4 linked regions of the Struthio camelus genome follow. The protein of the gene in region 1 purifies or fractionates together with the protein of each later gene. This does not show direct contact. Links are inferred from orthologs where the notes say so. Each region holds a gene or a part of one and is shown on either strand. Other genes may lie near its edges.

Region 1 (7,085 bases):
TTCTTGGCATTTGCGGGCAGCCAGGGCAACAGAAAGGGCCAAGCCTTTAGGAACAACACAAACGCTGAGCACAATACCACCTGCCCTGCACCGCCGCTTCGTGGGGTCGGACTAACTCCTTGAGAGCTACGCAGCTTCGTCCTGCACGACCATACCTCTGCCTCTGACCTTCATTTCAGTTCGCTACCTCCCACCTCTGGGAGCTTGTCCTCACAGCGAGTGAACGGGGAAACCATCCAGGGGTGAAGAATGACACGCTCAAACACTTCTGCAGTTCTGTTTCTCCACTACTGTTGTTCAAATCACAGCAGCAATTAATACGTTGTTCAAATATGTTTCTCCACTTACAAATAAAAGTCATACTTTGCTCCTCGTGACTGAGGGCAAATTAACCAAGCACTGATGTACAGAGAAAGAATGTTTGAGGGGATTTAGCCCCTCTCCAGTCACTGTCTCCAGGCTGTGAAATGCACGCTCCTGGTTATATGGCCACATACGTACGGCTATACTGGTATAGTGCTACCTCCTTCCCAGATAAGGGCTATGCCACTCCAATTACATTAATCCCCCTTTCCAGTGGGATTTAAATAAGAACTACTCTGCAAACACCTAGAGGGAGTCTACTACACACCCCTACAGTGGTGTACCAGCAGGTCAGCAGATATGGGACAAAAATACCTTGTTATCATTGGGAAAAAAGTTCTCGTGGTGGATGGGAACATAGACACGAGAAGGCTGTTTAAGATCAGAAAACTCAGGGAATGAGGGTTGCTGAGGGGTTCAGCCAAGCTTAAGCAACTTGACAAATGAGGAATGTAAAAGGGGTTAATTAAAGACTATAGTTCACTTTGACAAAATTTTCACTTATTATATTTACAAGTAACATCTCAAGGGACTATAGCTAAAATAAACACATTGGAGAAGAAGTATGGAAGCTCCTCCTCCTGCCATTCACATGGTTTTCAAATTAGGCACGCTGATTACTTACACATAAATAAAACACAAAAATAAACTTAATTGACTGTATTCAGAATAGTTTAACTCTTTTTGTAAGAGTTTTGCAGTTAGAAATGTGCCTCTTTGAAAGACCCAAAACAAACTGAAAACTTTAATTTTGGGTTTAATTTTTGCTTAACCACAGTGTCTGTTTTATTGCACTAAGTTGCTCAGCAGATGTAAAAAAAAACATTTTGGCATAGTTTTACTGCTTATTTAGCACAATATTTTGTAATTATATATTCACACACCGGATGAGGACGTCAGCAGTGAGACTAAAAGTTTGCAGACAGTGACTTTGGTTAGTCAAATCCAAAGAAGTCTGTGAAGAACTTCAAAGAGATTTAATCAACCTACGTGAAAGAATAATATGATTGCATTAATCAAGAGTGAACTTTATGTGCTAAGTAATGCGCATAGAAAAGGAAAAACATAAGTTCTGTATCTCACAGAGCTCTTAATTACAGCAACTTGGGAAAGACCTAGAAACATTATGGGTGGTTCTGCGAAAGCCTCTGATCAATATGCAGCTGTAATGAACAAAGGGTGTGTTGAAATTTCAATGCCATTAGGTGAATCAGTGGTACGCTCACATTACCGACTGGATCTATCCACCTCAGAAAAGACACTATAATTAAGAGAGAGCTGAGAAGACAAGGAAGTTGATCAAAGGCATGGAAACATCTCTTATACGACCAAACGGGAAAAAAATTTAAATAGGTTATTTGGGGAACGCTAAATAACAAGAGGAGGCAAGACGCGTCCTGACACAACAATGAAACACCGATCATATTCGGAATTAATTAAGAAACACACACACACACACACAATTAAGCTGCAGAATGGCTATTCCTGTCAGAGCTCAGGTATTTACTGGATTTCAGCAGGAAGGCCGGCACCGACCTGGGTAACAAGCGCCCGGACCGGCGAGGCAGCGGCGCTCCGGGGCGGTCTGAGCCCTCCCAGCGCTCGGCGGCGGCTCGGAGGCTGCTGCGAGGCACCGAGGCCCCAGCGACAGCGCCCGGCGCCGCCGGCTCTCCACGCCGCAGGGCGGCGGAGCGGCTTCGCGCAGCGAGCTCCGGGCTCGGCGGGGGAACACGCGGAAAAACAAAACAAAACAGGCTGCTTTGCGCCTTCCCTGACCAGCGTCCGGCCGCGCTAGTTCGCCTTCGAGCACCAACTGTCACTTTCAACCTTGGGGCGGGGGGGGGGGTCTTTTTTCCGGCACTGATGATTGCAGAAAGCGTCGCCTCCGCCGCCCCGAGCTGACCACCTGCCCCTCGGTCCGGGCCGCGGCCTCCCGGCGCCTCCCCGGCTCGCGAGGGGCGCCAACGGCTGCGGGGGGAGGGCGCAACGGCTCGCGAGGGGCGCCAACGGCTCGGGGGAGGGAGGGAGGAGGGGGCACAACGGTTCGTGAGGGGCGCCAACGGCTCGGGGCAGGGAGGGGCGCCAACGGCTCGCGGGGGGCGCCAACGGCTCGCCAGGAGGGAGGGGCGCAACGGTTCGCGGGGGGCGCCAACGGCTGCAACGCCGGCATCCTGAGGGGCCCCAGCCGGGTCCCGCGGCGGCGGGGACGGCCCGGCCCGGCCGGGGCTGCCGCCTCGGCTGGCCGCGCAGCCGGACGTCGCCACCCCGAGCGGCCCGCCACGGCCGCCTACCTGAGCTCCAGCTGGTCCAGGTTCTCGAGCAGGCGGCTGGAGCGGTCCGCCATGGAGGTGGAGCGGTAGAAGCGGCCGCGGAGCTGCCCGCCGGATTGCTGCTGCTGCGCCCCCTCGCTGGCTTTGGCGCTGATCTTGGCCTGGGCCATAGCACTCGCCGGCGGCTCCTCCGCGCGGCCGCTCCCTCCCCGCGTCCCGCAGGCGGCGGCGGCCGAATGCCGGCACCTCGCTCATGGCCAAAGAAGGAGCCCGCCCGCCGCCTGCCCCCGCGGCCACCCCGCCTCCGCGGCCGCAGAGGCGCCGCCTCACGCAGCGCGCCGCGGACCTCGCCTCACCTCGGCGGCCCCGCAGCGCCGCGGGCGGGCGCCCGCCCTCCCCGCCTCCCGGGCCCGCCCTGGCCCCCCGCAGGAGCCGGGCCGAGGGGAGGGGGCGTCTCGTCCCGGGAACCCCGGGGCGAGGAGCGTGTCGCACCCCTGGCCGGGTCCTGTTCCGTACATCGCGCATTCAGCAGAAACGCGGAGGCTATCGCATGCTGTAATTTATTGATGAATCAAGGAGCTACAGCTAAGTCACGAGTTTTAATTAAATCCGCAGAGAGAAAAGAGTTTTCCCTCCCGAAACCTAAACGCTGTCCTGCATGCCGTGCTGCACCGGTGTCTGAAAGCGTTGCCCAGTCACCACCTACGCTAGCACAGGGCAGTGCTGCCGAAGCCCTGCTTTTCCCCGACAGTTTTCCGCGGACTGGGGAGCCACTGCGGCCCCCCGACACAGCCCCGCCTTCCTTGGCTCTCGCTAAAGCAGAGCCCAAGGAAGGGTAAGGTTTTTAACACCTATATTAACCTGATCCTAGATGGTAGCCTAGATACCTAGATGGTATGAGGGTTTACTTTCCAAGACTATTGTATATGGTTGATCGGTTTGGTCTTTCTCTAATTAAATATATATATGTATATCAATCAAAAGAGACAGCTGGAAATACAAAGATGAAACTCCTGAAGGCGTAAAGAAGAAATGAGAAGAGGAAGGCTAGAAGTGCCTTGAAAATCCAGAAGCCTGTTTAAGGAGAAAAAAAGTGTTGATGAGAGTAAAGCACCCACAGCACTTGCTACAAGCAGAAACAGAACCTGAACAGCAGTCTTGAAAAAGATACTTAAGATACTTGCATCGATACAGTACATCTTTCTGACACTAAGTCATCTGGTTAGCCACAGAAGAGAAAACAGTTCTACTAAACGTTTTTGTCCAAGGTAATACAAAAAGGCTTACTAGAAAGAAAATTGTTTGTTTGTTTGTTTGTTTTTTGCTGTGCCAAAAGAAAAAAAAAACTTATTTTGTGATGGCAAAGGTAGTGGATCTACATTTTGTAATGACTTTTTCCACATCATATTTAACTTCTCTGTATAAACCAGATAACTTCTGTCTCACAAGAGCACATCATACTAACTTAGGAAACTTAAGCCACAGAAAGAAATCTTTTATACTTCTTGAACCTGTACTTCTGTACAGCAGATTCCTGTTGGCTCCAGCAATTCTTACTTGCCATTACTGTGATTATTTAAAAAGGAATTTGCTTATCCCTAATTTCACGTTTGGGCAAATACTGCAGTTCTCTAACAGACCAATTTTTGGCATCCAGTTAACAGGGTTTTTATTGCACAGGGATAACGTTTTGAATGCTTACTCTGGTTATAGCTATTTTCTCAGGCTTGTCCGTTCAAGATGATATCATGTCCCACTTCTCTTGCTAAATTAATTGTCTGAATTTTGTTTTTTTTTTACATGGCTGGGTAGGTAAGGATTATGGCTGTGAGCTCATAGAAATAATTTCATTGTTCAGCGATTGTTCAATCCATCTCACTATAGTTTATTCAGAAAATTATTAAAAACTACTTCCTACCCCCAAACATATACAAACAGAAACATGGGGACTAATGTGACACAAATTGCAAACTTTTTTCCTAGGATCCTTCTATTCCTCCCATGCTAATTTATGAAGTATTAATTAGGTCGTGTTTAAAAAGCAAAAACCAAAATTGCTACTAGCCAAATGGTTAGAAAGATTTTTTTTCCTTGTACAGGGTTTTAAATTTTTGAAGGTAGAATGTGCAATGAAATGAAGAGGCACAACGGTTGTTAGTTGTGTGCAGTTGTATCACACATGACTGTGTCTTTTTTGATGGCAAAACAGCATTTCATCCAGGAACTGAGAAGAGCTGAAACAGTGGAAGCAAAATGAGTTTCAAAAGCAGAAATAGTTGTTTGAAACAAACCTCACCCATCATTGCTGCCTGTGCAGTCGAGAATAAATTGCCATTTAAAAACTAGAAAGGATTGCAAAAACTGCTTTTCCTACCCAAGAGGGGGGTAGATTGCCCCTATTTTCCCTCAGGTGCTTTCTTCCTTGCCGAGATACATAAAGGAGCAGTTGTCACCACTTTTCCCGAAATAATAGGTGGCTGGGCTAGCAAGATGGTAGTCAAGTCTCTGGAGAAAGGAAGTGACTCACAGTTGAATTAGGACAAGAAGTTAGGGGACACAAAAGGCAAGAATTAGGTCCTTCAGGGCTGCAAGAAAACGGGAGGAGGAAGAGTAGCTCTGTCAGAAACAGCACGGATCTCATCCTCCTCCTTATGATTTGTGGCAAAGAAAGGTGATGTCTGGGTCAGGATTGCTGCTGCTGCGACAACCTCACTCTCCTAGTCTAGTCTGCAGCTATGTTCACCCGGCTGGATTGCACAGCCCTGCTCCAGCTGCAGGCACCCATGGGGAGATTGACATGGAGAAAGTATGCATCTCAGGCCTTCTGTACTGCAGGCTCAGCGACCAAGTAGCTGGCTGTCCCTCATTTAAATGGCGGTATCATAAAAGATGCACGCACCTTGCAGAACAGAGCGACTGGCAGAGAATCCGCATTCATGCGCACAAGATCTTTTATGGTAGCAAAAAGATATACCTTCCCAGGCCGTGGACACCTAAGACATTTGTAAAAGTCAGATGATCTACACCAAAAGCAGTACTACTTGTCACACTGCTAAATACCATCTTAGTTTCAGTTTCACCTTATTCCAAACCCCCCATACCTTGTGACATACCCTAACACTTACCTATGAGCTGCCATGGAATAGGATGTAAGAGAAAGTCCACACCCAAGAAACGCCATGTTGGATTCTTTTCTTCCCTTCTACAGGAACTTCATCTGGAGAATCTTCTTTGTACATAGGCATTGTGGAAACACAACTTCTGTACATACCATGAGGATGCAGCTGTGGTTTGGGCAGCCAACCACAGCTAGCATTCAGTCTCCCAAGCACAGTACAACAGCAGCAAAGACGGGCCAACATGAGTTTTAGGGTATGATTTTCTATCAAAAGCTGTACTTAGTATTATAGTAGACTGGCCCCTTAGCACCTGCCAAACTTGTGCTACTGTGTTGTTTCTGCTATTGTTACTAACGCTAATTAACACTAGCACTGTGTTTGCCCATCACGTTACCATCATCTTACTGTGCAGGCAAGCCCTGCACTCCCAAGGCTGTTGGAAGCCTCATTCCTCTATCTCAGAATCAATCTAAAAGCCAGTACGACCATTTCAGGGCATGGAGTAGTTCTTTTCCTCATGGAGAGGAAAATTGCTTAGCAAATGACCCAGTGAATTCTTTACAGCTGTGGATGCTAGGCAGCTTTTAGATAAGAGCTCTCAGCAAAAACCACTAGAAGACTCCCAGAAAGTAGTATATTGGAGTCAGTGAAAAGAAACTTGCACAGATTTACAAGGGGAACTTTACATTTAAATTTCTGCACACACAGAACTTTGTCATTTGGGCACAAACTTTGCACATACTTGCCACTTACTATGAATTTTCTGGCTTGTTTACACCCATGTTTACAGTATGTTGAATCATATTATTTGACCCACAATGTTAAAACTGAGCTCTAATTCTTGAATTAAAATTTCTGCAGAAAACTTGGGGGCAGTTTAGAATTGTCAAAGAAACACGCAAACGCAGATTTTAATAGTCTGCATTTAAGTCTTGCTACTTAACTGGAAAGAATTGCCAGAAAGGATTTTGCATTAATGTCAGCCAATTTTTCTAAATTATTGTAAAGACAATTCATCATCCATCCTTCTCACCTCCTTCCAACTTTCAGCAGTCATTGTAAACATTGTTAGGACAGCATAAGCACATGATAGAACACTTTCCTTTTAAGAAAGAATATGGCGTGACTTCATACCTCTATAAACTTAACCATATTTGGTAAAGATTCAGTAAAGGTTTGCATGTTACATAATATTTAGCAGATTGACCTACCACGGAGGTGTCTTAAGACTTAAATGATGTGACCACTATAGGTCCACTAGTAGTCATTTCTGTACATCTTGATGAGCTAAGAAAATTATTCCATCACCCAAATATATATCACTATGATGCAA
Region 2 (7,893 bases), about 31 Mb from region 1:
CCCCAACAAGTGTGGGTCTGGGAAGGGCACGTGAGGTTCGGGAGGAACAGAAAAAGATCCCATGTGCCTGGCAATAACAATACCTCCTAAGCCTTAGTACCACCTTTTGTTGGAATATGAAATCTGCTGGGGCTTCAGGGGTTAGTGAAGGGATGGGGAGAGTTCCCCCAAATTCTTCAAATTTCATGATGCCCAGTTTTACAGTGTTATGATGCCCTTCTGGTGAAGGGAGAGTGAGAACAGTATTGTGAAAGATGTAAATAGCTTGATCTATCTCGGAACTGAGATCGTTGTCAGCTTTCTGCAAATTGAGTGGAGGAAAACTTTATTGCAGAGCAGAAAAAGATGATGGATAGCACTGTTTGTGAAGATATTGGGAAGTGAAACAGCTCCAGATTAAAAACTGGCAAGCTCTACTAGCACAGGCTAAGCCATAAATTTACCTGTAGTATCTCTTCCCAGGAATGATCTAATGAATGACAATTAGTTTGTTACAGAATGCTGTAGCCCACTAATGTTTGTTTTTTGGGGGGGGGGGGAAGGGGGGGGAACAACTGTATAATGCGTCTTGAAATTGAAATACTTCAACTTATTTTCCTGCAAATTACCAGACTAATACTTCTCGATATCTTTTTTTCTGTGCCATTGTGCTTTGCATACTGTATGTTCTTAGAGCAAGTTGACATCATCTCTTGCAGGAAGACTTTAAGGTTCAGTTTGCTGTTTTGCAATGTGTCTCAACAAAGCAAAACATGAATAACACTGTCATTTGCTGTGAAAATTGTGAACCATTTGTGAAGCATTCATATTGTTGGGAACATGCTAGTTTAGTTCTGTAAAATAGCTTCTTAAAGCACGAATTTCATTAAAGATGCTTTTGAAGTTGTTCAGCCTACTTTGTCGGAGATTAATTTTTACTGTATTCTTACCATTCATTAGGCTGGCAGTTTTCCTTGATCTCCTTGCTATTTGAATCGGTTTCTCCTAAGTGACTCAATAGCTAATAGGTCTGAAGTCTAAACATTATTTGCCTTGGAAAGAGATCCCCTTAGGACTGCCTGACTTTATTCTTGAGAATCAGTCCGAGTGTTTTTGTTGTGCATATGCTTATATTATGTTCTTTTTCTTAGATCATGTACCTAACAAATTAAACAACATATACGTGCCCGTGTTTTTCAGCTAACTAGCTATTTCTTAGCCTTTCTAATGAAATAGAGCTTCCTGATAATGTAGGAGTGGGTAGAAGACCATGCCCTGTGCACCTGTAAACTGGCCCCTTAGACCTTGCTAACCTTCTCTCTCCTCTGTGGATTCCAGTCACAGGTGAGAACAGATTGAGGGCAAAGTGGTAGCAGAAGTGATGGTTTAAATTGGTGTACTTTGAAAAGCTGGATAATTTTGTGCTTGAATTATTTCAAGTGAAAATGTCATCAGAAATTGAGGAACTTGAACTCAAAGTTAGTTTGAGCTAGATGTTTGTTTGTTACAATCATTAGCAGTTTTTAACATAGCAGAGGAGGCGACTGTCTCTTGCTAATATAGGTGTAATTTAGACATAGCTAGTAACTTGTCAAAATGGAAGTGGAACAGTAGATCAGAGTAGACAGTGTTGAGGCTTCTTCATGTCTGGTACGTTTTGTGCAAGGATGATGGTGCTTCAGATGCAGTCTACACATGTTGTTCAGTGCTTTCTGAAGGGAAGGAATCACATAATCTCTTGCTTCAAATGAAGGTCCTCCAAAGAAGCACTGTGCTGTCCTTAACCTGTCTCGCACAATCGATGTTGATAGTCACGGCCACTGTATGCCAGACACTATATAGAAAGGGCTGCTGCTCCTTGTCTTGCATGTTTTGTTGGGCTGTTAAGGGATATTTATGGACATCTTAGTAGGCTTTATCAAAAGGACTCATGACACCTGTAAGTCTCACCTTGGCATCTCTGAAGATAATGGCCCTTCCTTTACAAGAAGGGACAGGTTTGTTTGACGTGTTTGGGTACGTATCCGTCTGCACCATCAGAGAGCTGTGGCAGACCTCCTGTGTTGCTGCATCTTCTGACATTGACAATGCTCTTCCTATATGCAGGGTGGAGGTAGAAGTTATGTCTGGTCCTCTATTGACAGAGGATGAACCCTGAGCACCAGGCTTGATACTGACGCTCCTAGTACCCTTTGAATTATGGTTGCCTGCTTTGTCCTGCATGACCTGTCTGAGGATACAGGAAGGCCTTTCCATACAGACTGGAACAACAGGGACCAGTTTCTGTAGCAAGTGATGTGCAGCTCTCTGCAAGTGTTTGGGACAGCAAGGATTGTGCTTATGTTACTTCCTTTCTTTCTGAAGGCTGCAAACATGCTGCATCTCTTCAAGTGGATTGAATGGCAGGGGGAAGGATAATGTGCCTTTCCATGAAATATCCACGTGTGAGCACTAAAAAAGATGAGCTTCCTGAAATATGTGGTGTTCCTTTTCCTCACCATATAAGAAAGGTTTCTTCATGTTCCCCTGTATCTCCTTAAGTCTTTTCTGCTTCATTTGTTCCGTCACCCTTTTTTTGGATATCTGATTGTCTTCCCTGGCCATCTTTGTCTAGGCTGATGCGTACTGGCTGTCAGATGCTGCTGAGCTCCTGCTGTTGCACCAAGCTGAGCTTCTTCCAAATGTTCCTACAGCTGCTTTCCAACATGGGCCTCAGAGCAGGTTTGATGGCTCTGGATCCCTTTAGCAGCTGCTACTCCAGCCTCTTGCTGCCAGTCTGCAGGTGGGCCAAAACCTGATGTCAACACCACTGAGAAGTCTTTTTATCCTAGTCTCCCTCCTCTTTATCCAAAATATCACATTGCTCCTGAGAACTGCAACGCTCCCTCCAGGACAGCCTCCTCGCATTATCGTTCTTGTGGTTGTGGGATAGTGATTGGATCTGCAATGTTATTTTATATGGTGTCACGATTACTTCATAATCTTATAACAGCTAATTTTAAGGAAAGGAAAGGGCTATATCATCAGGTCCTGCCTCATGCAAGATTTGCTGGGATTGAGCTAGGTACTTGAAGTTTTCCGCACTGGAGCCTGGCATTAGGGTTTTGACACAGGTAGTTGCTGTGCAGATTTCTCCCGTAGCTCATGGGCTCAAAGGAGTATCTTTTAAAGTACAGGGGCCCCTCTGGTTAGACTGCCAAAATACATTGCTTTTGTGCAGCTCTGAGCAGTCTTTTCAGGAGATTTGTACACCTGCCCTCTGCACTTTCACCATAGAGACCATTTTGGAAAGGCCTTAGCCTTAGTAGGGTTGGAAGTAGGAGCTCTAGCATGGGGGGATGCTGAGGTTGGCGGTGGTGGACAGTGGTCTGAAGAGGTGTCCTAGATGTGCCTGTGTGGAGTCAGAGATGCAAAAGTGGAGCGCGTGTGCTCCTCCAAATTCTCCTGTGTAGTGACCTACAGTCACAGTGAGTTGCTGCCTGAGTGGCAAACTCCCAATCCAAAGACTTCTTCAGGCACCCTGTAATGTGCCATGCCACCCACAACTGCAGTTATTACTCCAGGTCTTCAAGAATGCTGCCTTCATCTTCATAACCTTGACGCAATGCAGTGGTGCACCTGTCCTCTCACACTTGGTGGCAGACATCACATGAGCGACTTCATGCTCCTGCCAGTAGAGAGACTCTCTAGCCTCGTAAGGTGTGCCACTTCTCCTGGCCCCAGGTTGCACTGCTCTGAACTTCCTGGAAGTGGAAGAGCTACTAATCAACATAACAGAAAAGACTTGAGAAATAACAGGCCTGAAAAGGAGTAGGAGAAATAAGCTGCTCTACTGGTGTCATGTCTTGCCTGTCTTAAAGAAGAGATTTCAAACCAGAAGTGTGTGAGGAACAGCAAATAGATAGATCACTGTTGCAATACAGGAGGCTGGCAGGCAAGGGTAGGTAAAGAGAAGTGTGCCCAAGGCTGGCTGGCTAGCTAGCTATATTGCATGTGAACCACAGCAGGGCGGGAAGGTCTCAGCACACAGCACCCCTGCCTCTTGAACCCCTAAGTACCTGTTGGAGGAGGGCCCTGTGGTCCTCATGTGGCTTTGGGAGAAGGGATTTGAACAGATTTGGTTTCCTTTCCTGTGAAAGGAACCCAGGTTATGAACACCAAAATCTCTTTGAGAAGTGTACCAGCATGCAATAAATGGAAACAATCAGGGGACTCGCTGCACGACTGCTCTGTTTCTAGTCATCTTGCTAAGGTAGGCTCAGCTTCTGTCACCTTATCTGTATTATCATTTTAATTTCTATTTCTTCTAAATGTATTGCTGCTGTACATGAGCCTAAGGCAGGAGCCAAGCTCTGCATCTGCTCTGCAGGTGCTCTGTCCCTTAGTGAGCCAGACCCGCGTGGCCCTTGCAGGATGAGCTCTCCTTGCCACGTGCAAACACGCTCTGGTTTGTAGAAGAAGTGGGGGGAGGGGGAGGGGGGGGTGTGTATGTGGAGGGGCGACATAGGTTTTTAAAAAACAATTGTTTCCAGGTGCTTCCACTCAAAACGTTCTCTTGCCCCACGTTACGAGGCGTGACACCACCCCTCCAGGAGCGCTGCAGCACTCGGCACGCCGGAGAGCGGCCCCGGCCCCGCGGCTCCCCCCTGCCGCCCCGAGCAGAGGGCCGCGCCCCGATTGGCCGTGGCCCCTGGCTCATTTGCATGTCTCCTCCGGCTCTCCTGCGCGCCGGGCGCTGTTGTGACACGTGAGGGCGGTGCACGTGGGCCCGTTATGTAAGGGGCGGGGAGGGGAGGGGGAAGGGGGAGAAAGGGGCGGGGAAGCTGGCGCAGGCATGCACGAGCGCGCGCACGTGCGGCGGGCCGGTGCGCATGCGGCGGGCGGCCGAGGCGCATGCGCGCGCGCACGGGGCGAGCGAGGGGGCGGAGGGAAGGTCGCGTTGGTTCTCCTCCTTCTCCGCCCCTCCCCCTTCCAGACCGAGGAGGCTCCCGAGCGACAATGAAGCAGCAGCAACAGCAGCAGCAGCAGCAGCAACAACAACAACAACAACAACAACAGGCGCAGCAGCAGCCACCCTCCGCCAGCGCGGGGGTCCCGGCTTTCCTCAGCAAGCTGTGGGCGCTGGTGGGCGAGGCCCCTAGCAACCAGCTCATCACCTGGAACCAGGTGTGCGGCGGCGCGCGAGCCGCGGCCGTTGGGGCCGCTGCGCCCCCGCGCGCGCCGCGTCTGCGGCTGGGGGAGGGGTGGGGGGGGAGAGGGGCGCCACCGCCCCGCAGGCGGCGTTGGGCCGGGCGGCGGCCCCCGCTTCCCGCGGCGGGGTGAGAGGGGTAGGCTGCCCTTCCCCCCCCCCCCCGAACTTCCCCCCCCCTCAGGGAAGGGGAGGGCAGGCCGGGCGGGCATCGGAGCCCGCGGCGGGGGGCCGCCCTGCGCGGGTCTCGGCGCACGTAAGGAGAACGGAAAAAAAAAAAAAAAAGCGGGCGCGCCCGCTTGGCTTGGTCTGGCTTTCGCCAAGCCCTCCGCCGGGCGGGAGATCGCCCCCCTCCCACTACCACCCCGGCCTCGCCGTGTGGCCCCGCCGGGCTTCCTGCGCCGGGGGGGGGGGGGTGGCTGGGCCGCCGCGGCTCTCGCAGACCCGGTGGCTGCTGGAGGGAGGCCACGTTCCCTGGTGGGGCCCTCAAGGGCTGCCCCTTTCTAGGCTGTAGATACCGCGTGTTGTATAAACGCCCCTGGCTGCAAGGGGGACGGGTCTCTTGCTTCTCTTTCCCTTCCCCCCCCCACGCCCCCCCGGTTAAAAGCAGTGCGTGGTCGGCTGGCTGCTAAGAAGGGACCTGTTTGCCTGCTCCGACTCGCCAGGCTTGGAGCTTTCAAGGGGCCTCCTGCACCCTCTGGGGTGCTCTGAGGGTGGCTCTGAGCTGTGAGGGGGGGCTGTGTAATAGAGGACGGGGATCTCGGAGTGGTTTTGTTTCACGGTCCGGTGTTAGGTGGTGTAAGGTTTTGTTGTTGGTGGTTTGTTTTGTTTTGTGTTTTTTTAAGCTATAATAGTGGTAATATAGAACTCGGGTGGGACTTTTCATTAATAAGTTCATAAGTAGGCCTGTTTTTCGTGAAGTGGGTAATTGTCTAACGGGGATTGTAAGTCTGTACGTAAGGACAGCCAGAAAATCAGAAAATAAGGGATATTTACAGTTGCTGTATTATAAAACACGAAGGATAGTGCTTTCCCTTTCCCATATAAAACCAGTTCAGTTCTCGCAGCGTAAGAAGAAGGTATGGCGAGGTCAGTGGTTTCTGCAGATCCGCGTGGTGTGCTCCCTACGCCCTCCCAAGTAAGACAGCTGCCTGCCATGTGCCTTAGCGCATCCTTACCCCTGCCGCCAGGTACTAGCGGCGGCGGCAGCATGTGGCATGGCCGGCCGGCCGGGAGCGGAGCCCGCGCTCATTGGCGGGCAGCTGAGCACGTGGGGCGCGCCGGTCACGTGGGGCGGGCAGCGGCCGTTGCGCCCGGGCTGCCTGTTGCCCCTCTGGGCGGGCAGTGCGCGCTTTGCGCCTTCCCTCGCCGCCAGCAAGCTTGTATTTACGGCCCTAGGGTTGGGCAACTTGCAAAGGTGGTCATAAGTTTTTGCTGGGGAGTGGTGTACAGGTGCTAGATCACGTGCATCTTTCTGAAAAAAAACCATATTAGGTACCAGCAGTGGTGATGGCAGGGGAGGCAAACAAGAGCTGATGTACTTCTGTTTTTGTTCCTTTTTTTTTTTTTTTTTACAATAACTTAAATGCTTTCCCTAGGAACTGCAGATTAAATTTATATAGTGACCGTGTTGATTTGTATGTGTTTAGATTGATTATTTAAAAAAAAAAAAGAACGAGTTGGACATCCTTTTTATCTTGACTCTGTTATATTAAAATGGAGGCCATTGCAGCAAATAATAAAACAACATTATCAGAGTGCAAAGTAACTTGATTTTTAAGTATCTTAAAATATTGGGAGGCAGGAAGTAACCATCTTCTTACAGTGTAGGGAAGAGCTGGCTACTTTGGTTCGGTAAACATCATTAACCCTTTTGTGATGAAATGGTAAGCAATTCTTTGATATAACCATGTTTTACTATATCTGAGGTATTTTTCCTGTACTTTTTTTTTTTTTGAGACTTCTGCCTCCACTCTTAAACTGTATAGATGTTCTCAATGCGTATTGAGATGGCATCTTTCACCTGAGACTATTTTAAGTGCTCAAGCAATGATAAAAATATCTAAAATATCTTCTTAAACTTTTTGCGGGTATTGAGTTATCAGTAACTTCAGCCAGAACTTTTCAGAGATTAAATGGAGTGTAGCTAGATGACAGCAGCTTTACTTTTAGTGCCTTTTAGTTTTGTTTTTTTCCCCCCTCCTGGAGGAGGGATGCTAAGGGTGTTTATAAAGGTTCAGATGCGCTCTAGTTTAACAAATGCTGTTTTCAACACGCAAGATATTTAGTGGATGCTTCATTTTCCATTTTAGATTCATTGTATATACTTACCTCAGGAAAGCAGGCCAAGGCCATTGTTAGGTGTCTCTGTATTGTTAAAAGTAAAGACTGTGGCATTGTTGGAGACTGAGGCAGTTTGCAGAAGCAAGATCTGCTAATCACAGCAGATGTTATCAGGCTTCAACAGTTCTGGTATGGGAGAAAGGTATTTGGATAACTTGGTATACAAGTGATTGCATCTTTTTGAATATATCAGTATTGTGGGTTACAGAGTACAGTAATGTAAATGTAACTGTAAGGGAACAGTACACTTACAATAATAATAACTGTGGTTTCAGACAGTGTTTATCCTTACAATGTTCTAAACACATCTATATCTTTACCAGATAGCTAAACCTAGGTTTCTCCCCTGTCTTAGTGGAGCAACAGGTGAGCGTTGTCCATGG
Region 3 (7,587 bases), about 62 Mb from region 1:
TCATCAGAAACCTCTCCGTTGACCTCCAAGTCCAGTTATGTCTTGGTCAGGTTTTCTGGTCTCACTTTCTGTCCTCTGGCCACCTGATTAAGTTTCCTGGATTCTAGTGCACACTTGGGGATCCTGTGTAATAGTCCTCCGAGGGATCTCTCTTTACAGCAAAGGACACTGCCTCAAAGAGCAAACGCTATTCTCTGAGAACTTAAATAGCCTTCCACCTCAATGAACAAGGCCACAAAATTATTCTTCTGATCTCCAGAAAGAATGGAGAGAACCTGTTGCTATGTCTCAGCCAGACATAGGTCAAGCATGACAAGCAGTTTAAGAATGCTGCATGTCAAAAATATCAATTAATGCTGCAGGCATGCTGTCTAAAATTGCAGAATCTGGATTGGAATTATAAGAATTTGTAGAAAAGTCTCAAACTGCATAATTATGCATGAAACATGGGTAAAGAATTAGGTTCGGCAACTCATGAAGTAATAATGATCTTTACTGACATTCGGTAAATCAACTACTGCTAGCGCTAACGACGTGAAGAATGTTTTTCGGGTCAAAGGAGTTAAAAATTGTACACCACTGAGAAACAAAGAGGTTGGCTGAGAAACATAATGGAATCCATGTTACATTCCCCGCACTGGGATTATGTTTGCATATTACCCTATTGATCTCCACCTACTGAGAAGCACTCCTGGATCTATGGAGTTGGTCCTATCTTTATACCGCATGGGAAAAGGCAGAGGTCCACATTTCCCAGAATGGTGCGGAAACTGAAGGGAAACAGCCACCAGAAGCTCAAATGTTCCAAAGTGATTTAAAAACCATAATGGATCCAATGTAAGGGAATCTAGTCAAAAACAGGAAAAATGGAAAGTGGTATGAAGAGAATACATGCATGCCTTCATTTGATATGAGGAGCTTTAATATCACTCTTGCACACAGTTAAACAGGCCAAGATGCAACATCCTTGAGAAAGGCCCTTTGAACTCACAGGAAAGTTAAAGAAGTCATTGACAACATCCAGATAACTTGGTACAAAGACATGCTTCAACTCCATATATCAAAAGGCTACATAACTATGAAGATATGAATATGACACTCCCCTATCACCTCAACAGGTTTTCTAGTTGAGAAAAAGAGAGATTCCCTTGGATCACTCAAAATGCACAACAAAGGACCTAAGAGAAAAGACAATATTCAGACTCTGTTGCAAAATGTAACAAAGAATATTTTCAAAATAAGACTAGTCTGAATAAAGGAATGAACTAAGAAGTCCTTACCAAGCTACTCATACACAGAAAAAAACATTTATATAAAGAAATATTGAGCACCCTGAAATTAGCCTGAATAGGCTTAGAGTCCAAAGGCCTTTGGCTTCCACTGCTGTCAGTCTCTAAGAAAGCCATGAACATCACATCCTGTAGGGGCTCCAGGCAGCAAAACGTAACCGCTGGATGACCATAACTACAAGGACGGATACTGAGCACAGCACGCTGCCTGGGCACTCTGGAACTAAAGGACACCAACAAATCTCCTTATATGAACACGAACAAAGGAAATCTGCCTTTCTCACTGCCTGTATGCAACCCTTTGGACTTACCAGAGATGCAAAAGACCATCATGGACTGGCCTGCAACTAAAATGAAAAGGTAGGTCACCCTCCTAGGCTATCACAGAACAAGAACAACAATTCAGAAGATGTTTCAGTAAAAGCGTATGTATCTCCTTCTGAGATCTGTATAAAAACAAGTAAACAATCCAGAAAAAGTATTCTAGATAATCAGAAGTGCTCTGAAAATAGGCAAAAATCTTGTTAAAACCACACATTTTCAGCACATTACTTACTTCAGCTTGTACTTATGCCTCTAGTAATGCAGGAGAAATGAACAAAAGAAAACAAAAACCCCAAGCGCGGCCTTTCTAAACAAAGCTATCCCTCTATGCATGACAGTACTCTGTAATAAAGCAGAGACATTATGCCACCAGATGATTTTTTTAAGCAGCAATACTGTAGTTGTTCGACTGTAGTTTTTTTTAAAAAACCTGAATAATCAGTCCATCTGGTTTCATCACAGTCTAAAGGAATGGACTCTAATTATATGCAGAGTTTAATCCTCAAAGAATTTGACAGAAAATCAGTCATATCATAGGAACAATAAAAAGTCAGAGCAAAAACCCTTTGCCTCAGTCCAAACTGAGCATTTGAAAATTATCCAGTGGTTTTCCATACTGGCCCACAGAAAAAGGAAATGTGATAAAGTTCAAAGATTAACTGTGCCTATGCATGGCAAGTCATAACTTTTACTCATCATTTTTACATAGCACAAAGGGACTCTACACATTTCAATACATGTTCCAATCTCTGTACTTCTAACTGTTCTATCTGTAGCTTCCAAGCAACATCTGTATGACCCATTTATACTCCTGGAAAAGTAACTAGAGACAATTCTTCAAAGCTGTATCTTCTGGAACAAAGCAAGATCCATCCTCAGTACAAACAACTGATGCTATTTTGAGAGAGTAAGGTGAAGTATTTGCTAAGAATAAAGTATCAAGTGGCTATTAAAAAATATTTCCATTGTTTTATCTTCTTGCAATAATGTTTCCTATATTGCAATTGTTCATGTAATTCACTAGCATCAGAAAACAAATTAGATTTATTTTCATTATCTTTAAATGCTGTTTAATAAAACATGAATTCAGGATGTGTTGATCTGGAACACAATATTTTTAATGCTAAGCAGGGTGGCATATCCACAGATTATCTTTTGGCTTTCTTCAGGATTTGGTTACATACTTTTACCAGTCAGAGGTAGTCTGAAAGCTTGTAACGCTCAGCTGTCATAGCAAAGAGGGGAAAAATGTTCTCTGCATATATAGTGCTTCTTGGATAAGAAGGCAGGTATGAATACAGTTTATGATGTGGGAATGATCACGCTCATAAGAATCATTTTTCTGCCTCTTCTTTATGACTAGAATTTTACACTTCAGTGAAAGCTAAGATCTGTGCACAAATCAAAGAAAAGCACACAAAACAGGCAGCAGCCCCATTAACGCCAAGGTTATGATCAGACAACTACTTCGGCTAGTATTAACTATATTTAAGGTGTGATATCTGACCGTTTACTTTAGCAGTCTGTTGCAACGCAAAATAAACCAAGACTATTTTTGTTGCAGTGGACCAGCAGAGTGCTCATGGTCAAGCAGCACCAGGGGCACTACAACTTGTTAAAGAGAACTAATGCAATCACACATGTAATCACATGACCCTACCTTATAGTTTGCCAGACACTGTATTTTTAGGTTCGTTCTGATTTTTATAGAAGTTCCAACTCCCCAAAGCACTTTTGGGAAGAAGAGAACAACAACAAGCTAGCCAGTCACACTTTAATTGGCTTCAAACTGCAGAAGCTCGAAGCACACGGGCTGTAGGTCTAATTTGGGGTTAAAGCGCACTGATTAAATAAAAGGCGGGGGAAGGGGGGGGATACGAGCACGGCTGACATGTTCTCACAAGTTCGAGTCAGGCCGTTGTACAGATGCGCTTTTACAGGGAAAACAAATTCTCACTCCGATATAATGTTGCTCTAGCCAGAGGTCCGGTTTAAGGAGCACCAGAAGAGCTAACTCGGCTCCTGCCACAAGTACGCCAAGAGCACGGCACGGCGCTGCCCCAGCCGAGCCGGGCCGGGACCCCCCCGCCCTGCCGCGGCGGCCCCCGCTCACCTCGGAGGCGCCTCTGGTACCGCTCCAGGGACTCTTGCAGGGCGGGCTCCCCCCGGGGCGCCCGCATGAGGAGACCCGTCCCTGCCGGACACCGCAGCCGCCGGCGGGGCTCCACTACAGGGGAAGCGCGTGGGAACCACCAGGCGATGCCCCGCCACACCGGCACCCCGCAACGGCGACCGGTAACGGTAGTTCGAGCCGCTCCGCTTTCCCGCGCGCCACAAGCGCCGGAGGCTCCCGGAAGAACTACAACTCCCACAATGCGCAAGGGGGACACGCTCCGCTTCCTCCGCGTTGTCCGTTGCTACCCGCGAACGGCCTCCCCCAGCCAGAGCGGAGCGTAGCAACGGTCGGGCCCCGCCACGCCCCCGAGCTACGCGGCGTGAGGCAAGGCCGTCAGAGAAACTACAAGTCCCAGCAGGCGGCGCGGCGCGCGGTGCTCCCTGGGAGGTGTAGTCTCTGCTGGCCGCCCACCTCCCCCACCCGGCAGCGGGCGGTGGGCAATCTCACACCCTGCTTTCCTCTTTGTTGTGGCTTGCGGCCGCGTTCGCGCCTGCGCACAAGGGCGCTCTTCCGCCTACGTTCTCGGGTCCGCAGTGGCTGGGTATAGCGCAGGTCCAGTCGTGCCAGAGGGGACGGGGCGGGGGGGGGGGGGAAGCTGTGTTTACCTCCCGCCACCGCGTACTCTGGCGCTTGCGCAGTGAGCGCCCGCCAGGCGGCGCGGAGAGTGCAATCACCCTCCTATTGTCTGAAGCTGGCGCAGGCGCAGCTCGGTCGCTGCGCCGCTCGTCCCTTGACGCCTGCGCGCTGGCCTCCCCCCACCCCCCCCCCATTGTGTGCGTTCGGGCGGCGCCTGCGCAGTGCCGTGCCCCGCTCTGCCCGTTAGCCGCTATGTGCAGGGAATAACGTTAGGGCGGTTGCTACAGGGACACCGAGCGGAGCGCCCCGCCCCCGCCCCGCGGGGATGCCGGGTCAGTGAGCACCGGCGGCTGCGGCGGCACCAGGGACGGCCCCTCCCCGTCGCGGCGAGCCTCCGAGAAGGGGTGAGTGGGGAGGGGGGTGCTGCCGCCCTGGCTGCGGGTCGGGTGCGAGCCGTGCCGGAGGGGGGCCGGGGTCGCGCCGCTTGCCCGCCATCCGCCCGCTGCCTATTGTGTCAGGCGCCGCGCCGGGGGGCTGCGCCCGGCCGAAGGGCGGTAGCGGACGGCCCCCCCCTCCTCCTCCTCCCCGTCGTGCCCGCTGCGGTCCCCCACCCCCTCGCCAGCGCGGCGGGGCCGGCGGGGGGCTGCCGCCGCGCCGAGCCCGTAGGGGAGCGGCGCAGATTGGATGCAGATGGTGCCGCCGGATGCCGGTGCCCGCAGCCGCCGGCCCGTTGCCGCCCCGCCGCCGCCGTGGGGCCCGGCCGGCCGCCCCCGCCGCCGGCACACACCCAGCCCACCCGGCCGGCTGCGGGCACCGCGGCTCTTCAGGCTGCCTCCCTCCCTCCCCCGCCGGCGGATTTCCGCGTCTCGAGGAGACCTTTTCAGCTGTTTGTTTGTTCATTTATTTATTTATTTATTCCGGTCACTCCTATTTCAAAAACTGCCCCGTGGCTGGAGAGGGTGTGTTTCTCCAGATTTAAAAATGACCGATAACTGTTCGTTTGACATGCAGTGTTCCCGCCGCCGCCCCCTTGAAATAACGATGTTGGAGCGGGATGATGGAGAAGATCTGTTGGTTTTGCCATCTCTCTTACTGTGTGTTTCCACCCAACAAAGAGGGTCTTTTACGTTCCATAACACTCTCCCGAATGCTCGATCTTTCCATTCTTGAGACTCTTCCCGCAGGAAACGTAGAATAACCTTCCCCCCCCCCCCAATCTCCGCCTCTCCCTGGTGGTGGAAGAAAAGTGCTGGGCTCACTTTTGTCTCTTTGGCCTGGAAACGAACGGGTTACGGATCTAACAAAAACCCGATGGCGGTTTTCAAATATAAAGCGTTTGGTAGAGGAGGAAGCTGGCTTCGGGGCGGCTCGGCGGCGGCGCCCTCCGCCCTGGCCGCCCGCGCACACGCCGCCGCGGCCGGATGCCGCCGGCCCTGCGGGCGGGGGGAAGGAGTAGCCTCCTCCAGATCGCTTTTGGGCGCGTTTGGCGTTCACCGGCAGCAGGCAGAGGTGACCGTGCATCTCTCGCAAGCCCGGCTGGAGAAACGCCAGCTGGATGAAGCGCGGATGATGGCCGTTCGGTGTCATAATTATGTATACGAGCCGGGAGGAGCTCGCGGTGACAAGAGTGTTGATGGTGTTGTGCTAGTTGCCAGCCTTTTAGACGTTATTTTAAACGTTTTTAAGATGAGCCGACAATTACTCCATCTGTTCTTACTGTTTTATGAAAAAATGGAGATGTAGTTGCTGTGCTGATGAATTGAAGATAAGAGTTGCGTTCTTGTGACAACCTAGATAAGAGGTTACAGATAGCACGCGCTGATCAGCCCTTTGAAGAAATTATTTTCTTCTCAGTGAAAGCAAAGGTGTTCATGAAGTATTTGATTTATTTGAAAGAATAAAGCCTGTTCCTGGCGCTATGATGAACCCCCCCCCCCGCCATGGAGTGCTGTTCAAGGCTTTGTGACAGTGAAAAATGGTGTGTGGGACAGGACGATTTTTGTAAACTGAACTAGTATGTGATTAAATATGCTGTGATTTCCTATGATTAATTTCCTCTGGGAATTATTTTCTGTCCAGATGTTGAGGAGTATGTCTTACTGGAACTGAGCTCTGTAGGTATGAAAGATCCTAAACTTTACTTAACAAAGGGCTGAGAGGGAAGGTTGAACATAAATACGTTTAAGAATCTCCCTTCCCTTTTTGATTTTCCAAATACTTTTCAGTTTATATACACGTATTTGTTTTCTTTTCTCTCTGAAAGAGGTCAGGAAGACTGCCTAAATGGAGAGAAAAGAATAGCTGAGTATACACAGAATTTTGTCAAAAGCAAGCCATAAGACTTTTTTTTCCCCTCTAACTTATGAACTATCTAAAAGGCATTTGTAATGAATCGGATAAAAATATTTCCTTTTCTACATTTAGAGAGAAGTATTTTGACATGAAAGTTGTTACTGAACTTACCTTATCTTGGTGCTGCATTTTCTTTGACATCTGTGCCGGCTATCCTGCAGGTGACTCCCTCCTGTATCAAATCAGGCTGGGTTTTGCAAATTAGAATAGGTTCTGTATTGGGCTTCATAAGCTGTAATAGGCCTGGCAGGAAGGTATTTTTTAACAATTCTCTTGATAACATACAGTCCAGAAAAGAGTTGCATTCTTGAAATTGAACTAGAGAAGTCTATGTTTACTTGCAGATGGGAACTAGGAAGCTTCCTTGAGCAACTGGAATAAAGCCTAAACCATGAATAGCTGCAGAAATTGATTTTGAGGTACAATTTCCAGTTCTTGCAAACGCAGGTAAAATGTAATAATGTAAGCTGATATCGTAGTATCTCCTTGAATCTCTACACAAAGACTATTTCCTTGTGGCAGCTGTCCTTCTTAGCTTTGGCAAGCAGAATTAAGTGGAGGTGAAACAGATTATTTTTACTTTGTTATTCAGGAAGCCAAGGATATCTGTGGAAATTTTACTTTTGCTTAAGAAAAACTTAACAGAGGAGACAGGCATTGAATATATTCAAATATCAGAACTTGTAGAAATTCTTGTATTTGCTTCTAACATTTGTGGGGTGTTTTTTTTTTTAACAAAAAAAAAAAACCAACAACAATGGCATGCACTTCCCCCTCTTTGAAGAACTTGGTGTATGATTAGTAAAAACTGGTATGGTAGCGACCAGGAGACTGTTTGGAATTTGAGAAAAGAAAGTTCTTTGTTATAGG
Region 4 (7,169 bases), on another chromosome or scaffold:
TTTTGAACCTGTAGCACTTGTGTGTGTAAGTTTCAGTCTATAAATAGGAGAGGAACAAAGGAAAGTGGGTCAAAAACAGCATTAACTCCAGGAGTTTAAGAAGAACAGTATCACAACATAAAACTGAGAGCTGGCTGTGCCACCTTGGTAAGGTGATAGGCATCTGCATAGTGTTTTGCTTCGTAGGAAGGAAATACTTAGCACCTACTACCACTGTATCTTAAAATAATTACTATAAAAGCATTCAATTAAGACTGTAATTACCCCTCATGTTAATATGGACAAAGACAGGGGGTTTGATTGTTGTTTTTTTCACATGTAGTTAAATCTAGGCAAACAGATACCTGCACTTCTGTGCTATGAGAATAACATTAGCAGGTTTAATGGCTTGGTGATAGCTATTATTATCATCATGCATCAAGAGTGATTACTGCCTCTCTGACGTTAGAATGTAACAACTCTCTTATGTGTGAGTGTGGAATGTTGTATTCATTGTTTAACTGTTTTAAAAGATTTCTTTAAATATTTCCCATTTCTTTCTAACTTGAGAATGTTGTCCCCTACAAATTAAATTCTCATCATTAAATTCTCATCTTCATTTTTAAGAATGCAAATTTATTTAAAGTATATGAATAACATAAATACAAATCTTAAATTTTGTCTTAGTGATTTTGATAGAATGAATCTTTTAATTCATTAAATTTCATAAAATTAAAATTGTGATGCATATAATTCTATACATTATAGTCAAATGTAACAGTCTTTCATTACTGTATACAATCTGTTTTTGACTTACTAAATTAGCTTGTAATTCTGTGCTATCAGCTGTAAAAATTGGTTTCCTTGTATACAGCTGTATGGGCTAGTATTGCTGAAAGTGTGGAGAAAGAACTGTTGATATGGTAAAACAATTTACTCTCCAGCAACTACTCCAGCTCCTTAAAAAAACTGTCCTTACTTTAATAGCTCTAAGACCCAACTCCATCAGAGATGGCTTAAGATATAATTAGCATATTGCCTCTGATTTTAATTCCACCTCTGCAAAAAGTATGGAATCATATTATGCTTCTGCCCTTTAATCCTAGCGTTAAAAAGAAAACCTTGGCTTAAAATAGCACTTTTTATTAGAAAATTATACTTCTGGGTAAAGATACCCCCAAAATGCCAAAGACAGTACCTTTGTGGTAATACAAAAGGGATATCCCTGTCTCCCTCAGGATAATGAGCTGAAATATATATAAGTGCTAGATCCTGACACCCTTATTTACCCTGATTAGTCGCAAAACTTCCCCTTAAGGTTCTTGTTCAAAATTAGTAATAGTTTGGGGTAAAACCACGAAATAATCCAGAATTCTTAAATCCCAAACTGTACTTTTCCCCCTCCAAATATTTTGCTTGGTGTACAGCTTCCCTAAGCAATCCTTACCCTACCCCTGAATGTCAGAGCTATTTGTTAGTCATTGGAATATAAAGAATTCACATAATATGAAATGCACAGTAGCTAGACTGTGCTAGACTGAATTAGATTGGTAAATAATATAAAAGTAATTAAGGCTAAAAAAAGATTCTATGGAAACTACAGTGATACTTAATACAGCTACATAAATAATGAATATGGTGACTTTAGTCTTGCACTATATAAGCAGAAACATGCCCTTAGCATGCTCCCTGCCAGCAAGCACTGCGGAGATGATGCTGGGTATGGTTCAGGGAAACCTATTAGGCAGTTCGGAAGCGGATACCCTGTTTGGAGGCAGACAGCTTTGGAGCGTGGAGACAATTTGCACTGCGCCATGTGCCTGTTGGTCAGAAAACTCCTTGGTCTGTTAATTCATATTGTGGACAAAGATGCATATGGCAGCCATTTTTTTACATACAGTATTTTGTAACAATTTTTTTTTAATGGCTGGGAAAGTGGAGAATGTACAGTTTCATGTATTTCACAGAAAGAAAAGCTGAGGCATGGAGAGACAAAGCCATTGCTTTAAGTGTAACGAGCTGTAGGCAAGACTGAACTTCACCCTAATTCAAGCACAAACCAAGTCTTTGCCTCCTGAGCCTTGACAGTCTAGCCAGAGAATGATGCTTGCATGGCAAATGGCATAGGCCTGTTTTCCACTCTATAAATATTCAAGGCTAATTTAAGTGGGAATCAAACACTATAGCTGGTAAATCAAACAAGAAAAAATACAGTACTTATATCAGTTAAATATTAACGATTCAGACAACCACAAGCATTTGTTTTAAAGGAAATTTCAAAGCTCCTGCGTGAGAACATACTCTAGTTTTCCATCTTACTAACTATCAGACAGAAGTAATGATATTTCAGAGTACAAGCTGTCATCAGGCAGTCTTTCAAGGCGTTTTTCAAGGCTTTCTTCTAAATGACCTACTTTGTTCCTGTAGATATCTGTTGGAAGTTTTGGTAATACATGGAAGAGCAATGGTTTGGATGCTGTTGTTATTAATGATGCCATACCATAAGTTACCTTCAAGTACAACAGGAGGTAAATGACTTGGATAAACTACTTTTATCATGATTTACAGAAGCTGATATAAAACTTGCATATGAAAAATAAGCTGTTCCAGAGAATGTAGTTTTAGTTAAGAAAAAAACCCCTCAAACTGTAAACTAGCTGCCTATTTTGAAACAGTTTTGTCACTGTATTGTCATCTTAGCCTTGAGTATGATGAACTGTACTGATGTCTAAATGTGCCAGGATCAGCTCAGAAGGCTATGAAGATAACTCATATTATTCTTCAGACAGGGGAAGTCGATGACAGAAAGAACTAGAGAAGGACAATAAAGAGCATGGCAGGCAGGAGGAACCTATGATTTGCTTTTATTCCATTTTACCTATTTTCAGATTCAATAACCTGGGATCTATTCTTGCAAACTCAAACAGACACTGCTTTTGCTTTAAAAGTATTACATTATAGATTCTCTTTTTTTTTGTCCTGAAGGACTGCAACACTGTTTTGTATTTACCGCTGTTTTCCACTGAGATATGAACAAAACTGAAAAAAAGTTTAAGGATCAGACTTAGAAAGATCCCTTCCTAACATGATAAAAGGATTCCAAAGGACCGCAAGCAAGAAATAACTGAATTAAGAGTTTGGCCAAAGTCTGCAGTGGCTGTAGGCAAAGATCCAATGTAATAAAAGTTGGACTAAAACTGCTTTAAAATAGTGTCATGCTTTTTTTAGATTGTATACATCTATTTTCATACCAATGTGTATTGCTACACTTTCAATATTGTTATTGGTAAAGGATATGCTTTATGTTAGTGAAATTATGCAAGATTAGAATATTTTAGCTTGGTTGGCAAGGGAAACAAGGCTTGCGCAACTGTACTTTCTGCCAGGCCACCTAATAATTTTCAAATCTACAGGACGCTTTCAGTCCTGAAAGAAATAAATAATTTCAAAGGCAGTTAACACAAACTTCATGAGAATCAGTGACTGGATAGGAACTGGCCCCATAAAGAAACCATGGCAGACCATGCTCAGTTGCTGTACGTTCAGCTCAGGAAGATCTTGATAGCCAGCCAGCTTTTGCATGATTTCCTGACTAGAGGATCAGGTCAGTGAGCCCTCCTGGCCTGCTCCAGGATCTCATCTAACACGGGTACGTGCTTCTCCAAGGTAGGGGCGAGGCAGCGCAGCAACACCTCAGCCACGCGGGAAGGCGCCCGCGGGGCGGGACGGGACGGGGCGGCCGCTGATGGCGCAGCTCGCGCGGCCCCGCCGGGACCACCTGCCCCCGCTCAGCCCTACCTCGAGGGAGCCGCCCTTGGGCCGGCAGAGCCGCGCGCTGCCCGCGAAACCGGGCGGGCAGCTACGAAGAGAGCGAGGGGCGGCGGGCGACAACGCCCGGCCCTCAGCGCTCCCGCCCTCGCACCCCACCCACCGCCCTTTCCCTATTGGCCAGCGCCCGCTACAGCCCCACCCCTCCCGCAAGCCCAACCCACCGCCCTTCTCCTATTGGCCAATCCCCGCTAAAGCCACGCCCCTCCATCAAACCCAACCCACCGCCCTTCTCCTATTGGCCAGCCCCCGTTAAGGCCCCGCCCCCAGCGCCTCCTGGGACTTCGCGGGAAAGCGCGCGAGAGGTGGCTGTGCCGGCGCGCCCCTCCCCTGCCCCCGCGGGCGCTGAGAGCGGCCTGCCGCCCCTCGCGGGCCCGGCCAGACGCAGCCTCCCCCCGCCGGGGCCCGCCCGGCTCCGGCCGCCGCCCGCGCTGGCGCCGCGAGGCGGGCGGAAAATGGAGGAGACCTGCGCAGCCGGGGCTGCCGCCACCGCCGCCGCGGGGGCCGCTGCCTCGCCGAGAGGAGACGCGGAGGAGCCTAAGCAGGTACCGGAGGGGAGGCGAGGCGAGGCGGCCGCCGCTGCGGCGCTGCCCCGCCTCGGGCCCTGCGCTAGGCCGGGGGGCGGCCCGCGGCGCGGAGCGCACCGAGGGCCCGTGCCGTAAAGGCAGCCCAGAGGAGCGTTTGAAGTTGCCTGATAGGTATTCCTCCTCCATAAGGAGCGTTATTGTCAGGGCTGAAGTATGGCACAGAGCGCGCTAGTTATGATTAAGCGGTAATTATAAACAGTGTTTTTATTGTTGCGTTGTAAGTACGGCGTGCTCGCTCCGGTGGCGGCCCGCCGATCCGTTTTCCCCTGGAGGTGCGTCGGGTCGGAGCTGGTCGCGTCAGGGAGGCAGCGGCGGGTGGCTCCGCGCTGGCGGGGAGAGGCGGGGCGGGGAGGTTGGCCCGTGCGGCAGCCTCGGCGCTGCGGGCGGTCAAGCGGCGCCTCTGCGGCCGTAGGGCGAGCGGCGTGTTGGCCTCCGGCTGAGCTCGGCGGGCAGCTCCGCTGACCTCGCTCCCGCTCGCCGGCGTGGGGTTGAGGTGAGTCGGGGCTCAACGTCGGCGGGCGTGCGCGAAGGGCGGAGGAGCGAAGCTGCGAGCTCGGCTGCTTGCCTTTGAGAAACGGCTCACCTTCACTGGAGGTGAACAGACGCAAAAACCAAATCTGATAGCTTTAACTTGTGCATTACATAAATGAAGGGCTGATTTTTCTTTGAAAACTAGGGGTCGCTGTTGTTTCTCGGAGGTAATGAGGTAAAAAGCAGTGCTGTGGTGAAATACTCGTCTGCCCCCCCGCAAGCGGCGTTTGCCCGTCTTCAAGAGAAGACCGATTTGAAACTCCCACCTGCAAATTGGTTACGTGAAAGCGCTAAGCTAGGACCGGCAGGTACAACCATTCTTGGCAACAACAAGAAAAGTAAACCCTTCTCAAGGTAAATGCATCAGGCTCTATTATTTTTTCCCAAACTCTTAAGAATAAATTTAACAGTGAACTTGGACCCCTGTAATTCAAAGTATTGTACATACTTTTTGTCATTGTAAATATGTCTTACTTCACCACTCTCCCCCTTCTTTTTCTTCCTTGGTTCTTTCCTGTGTGCTGTCTTCTCTCCTTTATAGATGATTAAGGATGCTAGTAATGCCGATGGATTTTTTGTCAAATGCATGTTGACACACCTTGCATGAGACAGTCAAACTGACTTCCTATTGATCTGTGATTGGCTGCCTGTCAGTTGGTCAAAATCAAACCAGACTGGTTCAGCTAGCCTGGTTTTAATCTTTAGAAATCAGAACTGGCTAACTAATAGAAAAAGAAACTTCATAGTCCTGTCAAGAATATGCAAGGGAATTAAAATAAGTGGTAAAACTAAAAAGCAATGCTATCTTTCTGTAGGGATGTTTGTTAACTAGTTGGATGAGGTGAGTTCAGAGTGTTTCTAGACAGGAGATTTAGCTTCTGTCCTGAGCAAGCAAAGTCATACTAAGTCAACTCGTTAGTGAAAATCAATAGTGTGCAGGAGATCCGTGTTTAAATCCTCCTAACTGATTTTAGGTGACGTGCATTTTTGAGTGCGCCCACATGTTTTTCCTACAGGCTTTATTAATTTTTAAATACTGTGTTTGTTTGTCCAATAGAGGCAGTTTGTTCTCTCTGTCTCTAGTGGCAATATTAAAACCTAAGAGTGAGGGTATGAATTCAGACATTTATATATCATGTATTTTATTATGTTATGGTAATTCCTGGTTTAATTTGAAAGAACAATATTGACTATTGAAATAGTCCAATTTAAATAGCTCGTAATTTAGAGAGGCATTAATAAGGGCAGATAAAGAAATAAGGATATGTTTGTTAAAATATGTAAGCCAAGTTCCTGTGTTGAAAACAGGAGGAAAAAAAACATTATACAGAAGCAAAATAAAACCACAGCTGACAAAATTCAGGAATAAAGCATGCTTAAATCTTTAAAGAGAGAAACTTTTCAAAACTGACTTACTACTTTTTACTAAAAAAAATGGAGGGGAGAGGAAGGCATTTTGTAGAACCCAGCTCCTCTGTTAATGTGTATGTTAAGACAGCTTCATTTTTTTCTGACTTCTTTAGCTTTTTCTAAAAAAAATTTAGCCTACTTTTTGGAATGTCTTGAACTTGAATGTAAATAATTCCAACAGTATTACTGAACTTGTGGAACTTCAAAATGATTTTGTTAATTAACTTCTGATCTCATTAGAGCTAGTAATGTTTAGCTAGGTTCTGTTTTTCATGAAGAAAATGCTTTCAGAAGCTGAGCATGCTTGGAGAACAAGTAGCTGTATTTTTAATGTCACGCTTCATGTCTTAACTTGTAATATTTTCTAAATAGCTTTGGAATGGCGTATGACTTCATTGACTCAATTGGAAATGATGTGGATGTTGTGTCTGATTCAGAGGTATGCATAACTTTCAGTTCCATGATTCAAACATTTATGGTGTATAACTCTTATGTTAAGGCACTGTCAAAGAATGACCTGTGTGTCCTTTGAGGAAAAGGAAAAGTGCCCTAATGAAGTACAAGCAAATGATCTAATTTTTGCTGTGTTGTCTAAGGGAGTTGTGATCATTGAATAAAAGAAGTATAGATAAAAACATAATTCCAGTGCAATTTTAAAAATAATGTTTAAAATTTTAAAAATAATTTTTAGCTAAAATATGCAGGTCAGTGAATGTGATGTGTCAATTTATAATGTAGGTCAGCCTTGTGTTTGTGAAATTGGTTATTTGATGCATATTGTTGCTGCTCTTAGGGTTATTTGTTTGCCTTCTCACGTAGAAGAGAGAGACTTCC

What was found.
Region 2: the proteins of BAG2 (region 1) and HSF2 purify together in Homo sapiens (affinity purification with mass spectrometry; 4 studies listed by BioGRID and IntAct, with this or other methods). This does not show direct contact. The link is inferred for Struthio camelus from reciprocal best matches to the Homo sapiens genes BAG2 and HSF2.
Region 3: the proteins of BAG2 (region 1) and CEP170 purify together in Homo sapiens (affinity purification with mass spectrometry; 3 studies listed by BioGRID and IntAct, with this or other methods). This does not show direct contact. The link is inferred for Struthio camelus from reciprocal best matches to the Homo sapiens genes BAG2 and CEP170.
Region 4: the proteins of BAG2 (region 1) and EDRF1 purify together in Homo sapiens (affinity purification with mass spectrometry; 3 studies listed by BioGRID and IntAct, with this or other methods). This does not show direct contact. The link is inferred for Struthio camelus from reciprocal best matches to the Homo sapiens genes BAG2 and EDRF1.

The regions. Positions count from the first base shown.
Region 1 is NC_090944.1:36,127,008-36,134,092, reverse strand, and holds the start of BAG2 (BAG family molecular chaperone regulator 2), read right to left. Parts: upstream 3,020-7,085; 5' UTR 2,804-3,019; coding exon 2,655-2,803; intron 1-2,654. UniProt on the Homo sapiens protein: Co-chaperone for HSP70 and HSC70 chaperone proteins. Acts as a nucleotide-exchange factor (NEF) promoting the release of ADP from the HSP70 and HSC70 proteins thereby triggering client/substrate protein release.
Region 2 is NC_090944.1:66,929,639-66,937,531, forward strand, and holds the start of HSF2 (heat shock factor protein 2), read left to right. Parts: upstream 1-4,881; 5' UTR 4,882-4,977; coding exon 4,978-5,145; intron 5,146-7,893. UniProt on the Homo sapiens protein: DNA-binding protein that specifically binds heat shock promoter elements (HSE) and activates transcription. In higher eukaryotes, HSF is unable to bind to the HSE unless the cells are heat shocked.
Region 3 is NC_090944.1:98,413,042-98,420,628, reverse strand, and holds the start of CEP170 (centrosomal protein of 170 kDa), read left to right. Parts: upstream 1-4,567; 5' UTR 4,568-4,769; intron 4,770-7,587. Other genes in the region: SDCCAG8 (serologically defined colon cancer antigen 8), read right to left, coding at 3,727-3,793.
Region 4 is NC_090948.1:4,044,419-4,051,587, reverse strand, and holds the start of EDRF1 (erythroid differentiation-related factor 1), read left to right. Parts: upstream 1-4,164; 5' UTR 4,165-4,262; coding exon 4,263-4,352; intron 4,353-5,070; coding exon 5,071-5,279; intron 5,280-6,707; coding exon 6,708-6,774; intron 6,775-7,169. UniProt on the Homo sapiens protein: Transcription factor involved in erythroid differentiation. Involved in transcriptional activation of the globin gene.